3 linked regions of the Arabidopsis thaliana genome follow. The protein of the gene in region 3 interacts with the protein of the main gene of each other region in a pairwise test. Each region holds a gene or a part of one and is shown on either strand. Other genes may lie near its edges.

What was found.
Region 1: the proteins of AT5G56840 (region 3) and NST1 interact in a two-hybrid assay, tested with the Arabidopsis thaliana proteins (one large-scale study listed by BioGRID).
Region 2: the proteins of AT5G56840 (region 3) and AT5G07900 interact in a two-hybrid assay, tested with the Arabidopsis thaliana proteins (one large-scale study listed by BioGRID).

What each region holds. Positions count from the first base shown.
Region 1 is NC_003071.7:19,221,230-19,224,989, reverse strand, and holds the start of NST1 (NAC (No Apical Meristem) domain transcriptional regulator superfamily protein), read left to right. Parts: upstream 1-2,073; 5' UTR 2,074-2,167; coding exon 2,168-2,354; intron 2,355-2,665; coding exon 2,666-2,952; intron 2,953-3,449; coding exon 3,450-3,760. UniProt on the Arabidopsis thaliana protein: Transcription activator of genes involved in biosynthesis of secondary walls.
Region 2 is NC_003076.8:2,518,182-2,521,941, reverse strand, and holds AT5G07900 (Mitochondrial transcription termination factor family protein), read right to left. Parts: upstream 1,774-3,760; 5' UTR 1,755-1,773; coding exon 537-1,754; 3' UTR 396-536; downstream 1-395. Other genes in the region: AT5G07910 (Leucine-rich repeat (LRR) family protein), read left to right, coding at 1-5; AT5G07890 (myosin heavy chain-like protein), read left to right, coding at 2,449-2,568, 2,672-2,731, 2,830-2,932, 3,018-3,615, 3,700-3,760.
Region 3 is NC_003076.8:22,978,600-22,982,359, reverse strand, and holds the start of AT5G56840 (myb-like transcription factor family protein), read right to left. Parts: upstream 1,723-3,760; 5' UTR 1,572-1,722; coding exon 1,304-1,571; intron 981-1,303; coding exon 781-980; intron 442-780; coding exon 208-441; 3' UTR 1-207.

The sequences.
Region 1 (3,760 bases), on a different chromosome or scaffold from region 3:
TTTCTTTTATTTAGTTCTTATACTTTATTTTTTACCAAACGTTAATTAAAAAAATCACACATACATAATTTCTAAAAAAAATGTATTCTTCAAGTAATATATCTTTCTGAGTACTAGTTTATCTATTTATCTCCGTATTTAATAATCAAAAGTTACGTTTAAAATAGAAACAACTTTTATCAAACAAAATATATTAGAAAACGCATGGTACTGGCTACTGGAAAGAATCATGACCTGTAAATTTCTACAGTTTTCCCGTTTTATATAGTACTTAGAAACTTTGGATTTTCATAGCGCAACCAATAAACACATGGACTTAAGACACAAAAAAAGTTGGGTGCAATGTCATTAATCAAACTAAAAAAATAATGATTAAAAGCATGGAATTCCGAAAACGCAACAAAATGATTCTGTGTTTAGACAAATGCAGAAAGGCCTCTTAACTAATCTTAAATAAAGTCTTAGTTCCAACCACATAAACACTCCTTAGCTCCATTAATTTTGGTTTTCTTAATTACGTTTCTACACAAGTACACGTACTTACACATACAATTCCACAGTCTAAATGATAAAACTATGTGGTTTTTGACGTCATCGTTACCTTTCTGTCGTCTCACCTTTATATAGTGTCTCTAACAGAACGTAACAACCAAATGTTTAAAAAAATAAAAACAGCACCCCTTAATTAGGCTCATTCGTTTTGCACTAACCATACTACAAATCATCTCGAACGATCGAGCAAAGATTTGAAAAATAAATAAACGTATAACTCTAGAGATTTTCATTAGCTAAGAAAAGTGAAATCGATTGTTAATCCTATTTCAGACGGGACAGGAACACTCATTACCCAACTCTATCATCTCTCGAACACCAAACTATATCTACCGTTTGGGGCATTATTTCCCACTTTCTTTCGAAGACAATTTCCCATATATAACATATACACATTATTACTAATATATTTTTATAAATTTTCGTCACATCCCAAAAAAAAACACTCTTTGTCACATCAACTAGTTTTTTTGTAACGATCAAACCTTTTCGTTTAAAAAAAAAAAACTTTTGTAGTGTAAACGTTTATTTATCGATGAAAAAAGCCACATCTTCCGGAGGGAAACTTTTTAAGACACCCTATTTCGACTTTATTTTGTAAATACAGTGTGCATGTGCATATAAAGAGAGATATCATTTGTATAAATATCAAGAATTAGAAGAGAAAAAGAGAGAAGAAGACAATCTATTACTATTACGATGTGTGGGTTGTTAATTTGTTTAAAGGGAGCTTTTCTATAGAGATTTTTAAGGTCAAGGGTCATCGTTCGATGTGGGCTTGCTTCCTACAATCTAGTTGCCTTACGGGGCCTACTCTTTTTCTTTTGATAACTACATCACCTTTTTTTTCTCCGACAACTATATATCACTTTTTTTATGTTTTCCTTTTTTTCTTCACAATAATTCTTTACTCGTTGCAAATGTAAAGATACACAAAGTTACTTATTTTGTTTACGATGGTTCTTAGTAGTTTAAAGAATTAATGAATAAGATAAACCTAAACTTTGAAAAGACTAAAAAAAATGTATAACAACATACATTATACGTATTTGAAATAGTCCAAGTGATATTATGTCATTGATATTAGCACAAATAATTACGATGCCTGATATTGTCACATTTGATGATTTTAAGTTCTTGTAAAAGATAAGTGTAACTAAATCACTATAGTGAGGCCCACGTTTTAATTTCTAAACTAATTACAATGACAATAAAATAGCAAAACTATTTAAAACTAGACGCCAAAAAAAATTGAAACTAATAATTGTGAAAAAAGAACAAGAGAATAATAATCATTAATAATTGACAAGTGAAATTAATATATTGCTCTTGGAGGGTTATATTTTAATTTTCAAACTAAATAATGAATACAAATGGAAAAGCTAATGATAAGAGTTGAATTTTAATAATTAAGAAAAACAAAAAAAGGTGTACAAGGAGACACATGCGTTTTCCTCATGCATCTTGTTTTTATACAACAATATATATATATATATTGAGTCATTCTCTGCTAGCTCTCTCATCTCCAACTTTCAGTATGATATATAGTTACAATTAAATAAACCTCACATGCTCTATTCTTGCTTGATTTTTGAGTTAATCTTGAATCTCTTTGATGATGTCAAAATCTATGAGCATATCAGTGAACGGACAATCTCAAGTGCCTCCTGGGTTTAGGTTTCATCCGACCGAGGAAGAGCTGTTGCAGTATTATCTCCGGAAGAAAGTTAATAGCATCGAGATCGATCTTGATGTCATTCGCGACGTTGATCTCAACAAGCTCGAGCCTTGGGACATTCAAGGTTTATTTCCATAAAGAAATTTTTTATGAATTAATTTTCTCTCTTTCACACTCTCATAATCCAATTTTCCGAATTTATTAATTTTTCCATATATATGAAAGTGCTGTCTTGTCTATACTACTTTCGATTCATGACGTGATCTCATGTATCCTTTTACGAGAATATGACTAGAGTACAGAGAATCTACACTTAGTTGTTGATGTTGTTTGTTCATATTCGGAGTTAGTTACTGCAAAGACCAACATAGGTTTGGTTATTATACAATTTACTATTTAAGTTTTTTTCTTCTGATTATTTTTGTCGTTATGCAGAGATGTGTAAAATAGGAACAACGCCACAAAACGACTGGTATTTCTTTAGCCACAAGGACAAAAAATATCCGACGGGAACGAGAACTAACAGAGCCACTGCGGCTGGATTTTGGAAAGCAACTGGCCGCGACAAGATCATATATAGCAATGGCCGTAGAATTGGGATGAGAAAGACTCTTGTTTTCTACAAAGGCCGAGCTCCTCACGGCCAAAAATCTGATTGGATCATGCATGAATATAGACTCGATGACAACATTATTTCCCCCGAGGATGTCACCGTTCATGAGGTATGTATTAATTCCATCATAACCTAAATACGAGTTATTCAATCAAAGGATTTGGTCTCTTTTTTGAATATCTCATTTTACATCACAATCTCGATTTTGTTTTGATTAATTATTATTTCATTGACCATTATAAAAGTTGTTACTGATGATAAGATGTACAAGTAAAAAATATCATGTAATTAATATATATATAAAGGTAATTAATATATTTTAAAAAACAATATTTATGCAAAGTATGATCGTAATTTTCTTTAATAACATTATGAAAACTATCACATATTCGTTTTCGTTATTATTTTTTTCTTAAATTCCCAATATTTAATGATAATAGTTTTAGTTACTTCTTCCCACAAATATTTCTTTTCTCCTTTGTCATATACAGACGCACATGAAACTGAAATATGAATTTTCTTTTTCTTTTTGGTTTTAACCTAAATGGGATTAGTGCAAAACATGAACTTTGCTAATATATCTTAGTTGATTTTTGAATATTTAAGGTCGTGAGTATTATAGGGGAAGCATCACAAGACGAAGGATGGGTGGTGTGTCGTATTTTCAAGAAGAAGAATCTTCACAAAACCCTAAACAGTCCCGTCGGAGGAGCTTCCCTGAGCGGCGGCGGAGATACGCCGAAGACGACATCATCTCAGATCTTCAACGAGGATACTCTCGACCAATTTCTTGAACTTATGGGGAGATCTTGTAAAGAAGAGCTAAATCTTGACCCTTTCATGAAACTCCCAAACCTCGAAAGCCCTAACAGTCAGGCAATCAACAACTGCCACGTAAGCTCTCCCGACACTAATCA
Region 2 (3,760 bases), about 20 Mb from region 3:
AATGAAAACTGTCTTCACATCTCCTTACTTTGTAAGTTCATTTAGACTAGTGCAGATAGATTTGGTATTAGTCTCTATGTATTATTCCTCACTGATGATAAAATATTCGTTTTTTGCAGGTCGGTTCGGTGAATGAGGATCATCGTTTCGTGTAAGAAATATTGTTGTAAAACTCTCTCTCTCTCTTTCTCTCGTCTGCAAGATTTAGAATCTCTGTTACTGTCACACCAATTCTTATGAACACATACATATGTACGTTTGTATACTCTATCAAGGCGTGTCTGTATATGTATATGTGCGTGTGTGTATACAAATCATATAGGCAGACCGATTCTTGGCTTTGGCCCTTATATTGAGATGACGATTCTACTTCTACATGCAAGTCTTCAATTGTTCTGTCTTTAAAACACACGTTGGGCTTGCTAATCAGCTTTCCTTTCACTACCAAAATTGGATTACACACTAGACTCTTTTCACAAAGATTCATGTCTCTCAGCATCTGACATTTGATAATGAAAACAGTCAAAAACAAAAGCTCAGAGTTTGGTGCATCCTAGATACAGATTCATCAACTCAGGCAACTCCTCTTCGTACTTGATCACGAGCTTCTCCAAGAACACTTTCTCCACTGGAACCAACAAAGACGTCAAGCTCCAATCCTCTTTCACAAGCCCGTTCGATACCAAAACCTTAGTAACCGAACACCTCGGGATAATCCTCTTCTCAAGGCTGAAGAAGAGCACCACTGGACACTGTGCGATCGATCTAGGCGCCATATTCATCTCATTCACAAAATATTCCATCGTTCTGTTAATCTTCCTCTCAGACAACATCATACAATGAGGGTGCTTCTTGAACGCACACATGATATCATCTTCCGACCATCCCCATCTCTGATAAACCTCAAAACATTTGTCCCATATCGATTTGTTTCCTTTCCCAGAGAGAGCATGAATGGCCAACACAAATGTTGATTTTTGAGGATTGAACCCCATCTCTTGAGCTTGCTTAGCAATTGCTTGGAACTCATGGTTCTTCTGCATCACAGCTTCAGGAAAATGCGTGAGAAGCAGCTTGATACATTTCTCAGGAACACCAGTCTCCGCCATATAGTTGATGTTTGGGACAAGGTTCTTAGTGTGATCCTCAAGGAAAACCCAAGTCGTCCTCCGCAACGCCGCCACAATCTTCTCATCGGAATCAAGAACGCTTTTAAGGAAATTGTAAGAAGGGATAAGCTGATTAACAAGGGATCTAGTCAAAATGGTTGGATCAGAAGCTAAAGTTCGAGCAAGTAAAGATTTTGAGACACCAATTGAGAGAAAGAAGCTGAGTTTCGGGAGGAGGACAGATTCAGCATTGGCTAATAAGAGAACAGGACGTTTCTTGACGAGAGATGAGATTTGAGCTGTGGTGAATCCATGGTCACGAAGAAGGTTGAGAACTGTGTTGGGTCGTTCTGGTGAATCTAGTAAGAGCTTACGAGAGGCTACGGTGGCGGAATCTGGAGATAGTCCACATGAGTCGATAAGGTAGTTGAGGGTGAAGGAGAGTTTTTGCTGTTGCTCATCATCTTTAGGGTTTTTGGAGGTGAGTGTGGTTACTGGAGAAGAAAATTGAGTCTGGAGAGAGAATACGAAGATTGGTTTCCGATGATGCTTAGGTAGTATGGTGGTGAAGCTTCCTCGTGGGATTAATTTCGTGAGGAAGACGAGGTTCGTAAGAGAAGTGGCTTGAGGTATTGCGACCGCCATTACTAGAGAGGGATTGCTTACTAAAAATCTCTCACTCTCACAGTACATAAACCAAATCCGAAATAATAACTAGTTTGACCCGAACCGACCCGACCGGAATTGACCGGGTTTTGTTTTTTAAACAAAGCAGAGAGTCATTTTTACTTATCTGGGCTGGCATCGCTTCGAAGAAACCGAGAGACATTTTTTTTTTTTGGAGGATCATCAAATTCAAACATCATTTCTCCGGCAAATTCGCCGTCGGAATTATCTCAGAGAGGGATTGAGCTGCGAAGGTAAACGTTTCCTGGGCTTGTATTCGTGTGTACGCTCATCAATTTTATTCTCGTGTTCGCTTTTTCTTTTGTGGTTGCAATTTTTATCCTTCGTTGTTGAAATTGGCTATCTAGTGGTGTGTGTAGTACTGTTTTCCCCAATTACTTCAAAGGAATCGAGTAGAAGCATCAAGGCTTTCATCTAATTTTATGAATAATTGGACCTGTGAAGTTGACGTCTTCTCTAGTTCTTCATTTAGTTGTTGTAAGTGTTTTTATAGCCTAATTTGATTTCCGTGGAAAGATAAACTGAAAGAAAAATCTGATTTGATTTAGGGAATGAAAACTTGGATTCGTTTGAAGTTAGTTGTAGAAAGTGTTTCTATAGGTTATTGGTGCTAATGATTCATTGCCTTTGCAGTGGTGATTTTTGTCTCTAAATGTCGAGTAGCTCGGGGAGTTTCTCGGGAAGCAGTAGCTCGGCGTGTAGTTCCAGAAGTGATTGTGAGAACTCGTTTGATGTTGAAGATCTTTTGCAGATTGGGACTACACGCAGGGAGGTAAACACTTCATTGCTATGCTCATTATAAGGTAGTTTCTGACTCTTAGATTGCTGAAGTTGATTTCTGTTTTGTTTTGTGCTCTTTGATTTGTTATTGGCAGCTAAGGAAACAAAAGGACTTGCTGAGAGAATCACAGCCCCATAGTATTGAACTAGTCAGAGTAGTCTTCTTCTCCTTGTTTAATATGAGCAATTCAGGGAAAGTATTTTCTCATTCTGTTGGTTGAGTTTTCGGACCTTAATCTTCTCTTCACCGCAGAGGTTGGAACTTCACACGAAGTCATTATCTGAATCTCGCTTAGAAGACACAGCAAGAATTCAGATGATGGAGAAAGAATTATTGAATTGCTATAAGGAAATTGGTAATTTTCTATTTAAGCCAACCAGTCTTGATTTTTCTGAACTAATAATAATATGTTTCAGCATATATTAATCTTCGCCTTGTAGATTACTTGCGGGATCAACTAATTTTCAGAAGCAAGGAAGTGAATTATCTCAATGAACATCTGCACGATCTTGAGTTCAAATTGGCTGAATCAAGGAATCTGGAAGAAGAAGTTAACTCTTTAAGAGATGAGTTGTGTATGTCTAAATCCGAGCATTTGTTGTTGTTGCAAGAACTCGAGAGCAAGGAAATAGAACTACAGTGTTCGTCTCTTACATTGGAGAAACTGGAAGAGACCATCTCGTCCTTAACATTAGAGTCCTTGTGCGAAATAGAAAGCATGAAGCTTGATATAACAGCGTTGGAGCAAGCACTCTTTGACGCTATGAAAATCCAAGAAGAAAGCATCCAAGAAAAAGATCAATTAAAAGGAATAATCGAAGAGTCCCAGTTTCAGTCTCAAAGGGCAAAAGAGAATGTCAAGTACATCGAAAAGCAAAACGAAGACCTGAGGGAGAAATTTACTGCCTCTGAAAAGAGTATCAAAGATTTCTTTCAAAGTACTAAAGAACGGTTAGAAAGTGAAGATGAACAGCCTCTAAATGCAATGTGCTTCTTCGCTGAACTGAGCCATGTGCTTCCAGTGTCTAATGAAGTTCGGTAAGCTCCAGTTTAAGGCTAATTTATTAAGTCATCAAATTGAGTTATCCCCGTCCCTAATAATGTTGGTTTTGTGTCTCACAGCAATTGTTTTGATGCTATCATGAAGAAACTAGAACTTTCTCAGAATGTGAATTTGATTGAT
Region 3 (3,760 bases):
TTAAATATAAAGTTTTACAGAAATATGTATGGATCCAACTTCCAAGACAAAAAATCTCACAATGAAAAAACCAAAAAAACAATATCGACGAAATTATCAAAGTAACTAACGTTAAATCAAAATCAAATTAGATAGGATCGATAAGATATTATATATGTAAACATTTGAATTATTCTAATGAAACTGATCATAACGTGTTATATAGATTCACGTAACGCTAATAGGTCTAATATTCGATTCAGGAGATTGAATGGACGCAAGCTTCAGCTCAAGATCGAGTCCACCGGAGTTACCCGAGCCGGATACTGATACTTTCGGATCTGGATATCCAAGACGAGGATTGAGTAATCCTTGTTTCCAAACAACCTTTGAGCTCGACCCAATATGATCATTACATATCCTCTTAGTAGTACTATTTTCTTCAACATTGCCGGCCGAAACCTGTTGAATATAAAAATTTGTCAATTCAAGATTATTTTCTATTTTTTTCTTCGGATTCTACAAGAAATTATATGTTCATATATACTTGGTATTAAAATAAAGCTTAGATTAAACTTAAAATCTTGACTAATTTTTGGTTTAGAAAATTCCGATATTTTAAGTGGGAAAAAAAAACTTGGAAAGAAAACTTTTAAAACAACATAAAAATTCTGTTTGAACTTTTGAAGATGTGACTTTTGTTGGATACAGAAACATTTTGATTTAATACATAAAAGTTTGATACAAAGAGTTTAAATTCTTTTGTCATGCATGTATAGAGAAAAGATTGGAATTACTTGCCATATCAAAGAGGCTGGTGCGGCGTCTCTTGTGATGGAGAGTGGTAGTTTGCCGGAGAAAGTATTTTTGAGCATGACTTGCCACTTGTGTCGGGGATTTTGTGACGACGAAGTTTCTAGAGATTCCTCTCCAATCTCCTTTTCCAAGCTTTTCTAATCCAATTAGAAACGTCCGGTGCTCTTCCGCCGTCCATGGAACCCCTAATTACGGAAACACAAATTATTATTTTTGGAAAAACTTTTAACAAAATCCTAGGCTAAAGATCGCGTTATAGACACATCATTTTCTTGACTACTCTTATATATATAGCGGTTGCATGCTTTAGGAAATGGTCCGACTTGGATATACGTACAAAATCTTTATGGCAAAACCAATCCCACCGATGACCAGTTTAACATGTTTTGATCTCCGATACAAATCGATTATGGGCCTAATACCCGGAACTTTTGGATTAATAAAAAAACGTCACTATCCTATTGTAAAAAAAAACTCGGAAAGTGGCATAATATGTCAAAGTTGTAACCTTTTTTGCGGTCAGGTGTTTTATGGGCGAGACCATCGGAGAGATAACCAGCAAAGGAAGAGGAAGAGGAGGAACATGCCGGCAAGCAATCCATGCTGAAACTTTTCTTTATTGCAGCGGCCAAAATCGAGGGAGGAGGAGGAGGCGGCGGAGAAGAGCTTGTGGTGTCTAGATGAACACCAAAGAGCCTAACTACTCTTGTTTGGTAAGAAGAACATGTTCTTGAGTTATGTCCTACGTTTCCACAGTGTGAGCATCTTCTGCCCATTGCAATGAATGAGAAAGAGAAGGAGGGACAGCGAGATAGAGAAAGAGAGATGATGTTGATGAATGATGATGATGAAGAGAGATTTTGGGGTTTATGTAAAATGGTGGAGAGCACAGAGAAATAAGATGATTGGATAAACCAAGTTTTATTTATTGGAGGGTTTTATAATTTAAATGATGTTGTCCAAGTTGGTGTTTTCTACTTTTAGCCAATAAGAAGACAAGCTTACGTATAAAAAACAAAAGAGGAAAATATGTCTTTATAAGTGGAAATTTATCACTAATATGGACTAGCTACAAAATGTTAATTCTAATCTAATTAATTTGTCTCACAAATATGAAATATTCATTTATCTTTCACATAGTCTATATTTTGCTTCTTCTTCTCATATGTATGCTTTATAGAATAGAATGAGGTAGCCATAACAATAATGGAATCTATGTGTATTAAATAATAAAGGCTATCCTTTTGCAAAGGAAATATAAGATATATGGTTGAGAGAGAGAGGACTTGGATCCTCCAATAGTTTTGGGGAGGTGGGTAGTTGGATGACCTAATAAAAATGTGGAAAGAAACATAACAAAAATATAATTTACAAATTTGTAAAATAGAGAAACAAACAACAAAGTGGTCTTGTTTACATGAACAAAGACAAGTCTTATTTATTTCTTGTTTTTGTTTGATATAAATAATGAAATAATTTGGATCTTATAATATTTTCAATATATTAGTTGGACGGAAGAGTCATCGTATACATATTTTTATTTAAAGATTGCCTGATTTGCTCAAATATTGTAATCGATAATGTTATTAATTACTAGTAGACAAAGCACTACCCAACATGCATTTATCTATGAATTGTTTATGGTTAGAATTGGTAAAAAGCAATATGGAGATTCTATTGCTACATTCGGAATGAAGAGCAAGTATAGGAGAACAATGATGATGATTCATATTTGATCATATAAAATAATGTATAGTATGAATCTATAATGGGGGTACTCGCATTCATCATATAAATTAAAATTAACTTTAGAGTCATAGCCTACGATCATTTCTAATTTGAATACTGAATGTGGATTCATGTTGATTCTATCCCACATACATATAATATGACAAGATGGGGTATTCATGTTGATGTACTATAATAATCTATTTAATGTTGATTATATCTTCTTCTACATACATAAAGATAATATGACTGGGATTCATTTTTAAGATTCGACTAATTAAAATATATTAAATGTTGATTCATATAGGACAATGATGGGGATTCATATTTCATCACATAAATAGTATATTATTGTTGATTTGATCCTAATGGCTACTTAATTCTGGTCCAATGAAGTTTGTTTTTGGTGAGGTAGGTCAATTTGTTTTACAAAAATTTACTAAACATATTCTAAAGATGTTGCTCACTATATCATATATTATTGAAGGAAAAAAACTACCAAATTAGAACATTATGCAAATGCTCTTCATCCACAATAACAGCACACATCACATTCTTTTGATCTCTAAATCGATACTTCTCTGTTTTTCTCTGTTTTAAGAGGTGACAAAATATAATAAGTCTCTGTTTCGAGTAAGAAGTCTCACAATTACCAAAAGTTGAAGTCCACAATTTATGCAAAGACGAATTTTATGAATGAATCCATGATCAGTAATTAATCAACTTTCAGGAACACCAAACAAAGAAAAAACCAAAACCAAACAAAAATAAACAAAACTACTTTTTCTTCAAGTAGTGTTTCTCCATAGACTCGATCACTTTTGTCATCTCCTCCTCATAAGATTCGGAGTGTGCTAACACATGATCTTTCTGCTGCATTAACATCATCATTTGTTTTTGCATCTGCATTAGCATCTTTTGATTCTTTTGCACCAACGACAACACTTCACTTTGTCTCTCCATCATTGCCACTTGGCTCTGAGTAATGTCATTCAAAGAGTATAATATTTCAGCTTCTGCTTCAAAACTTTCTTCCACATTAACACTCTGAATGACAGATTCTTGAAAAGACTCTTGATCCGGTCTCATATTGTATTCATGAACCAACAAGCAATCGATAATGACATTAACAGAAAGTTTTTCTGCAACCTCCACTAAGACTTTATCGAATCTTGGAGGCAAAGAGGAAAGAATCTTCTTCACCAATATTTTTTCTTCGACCTTCCACCCGCAAGAC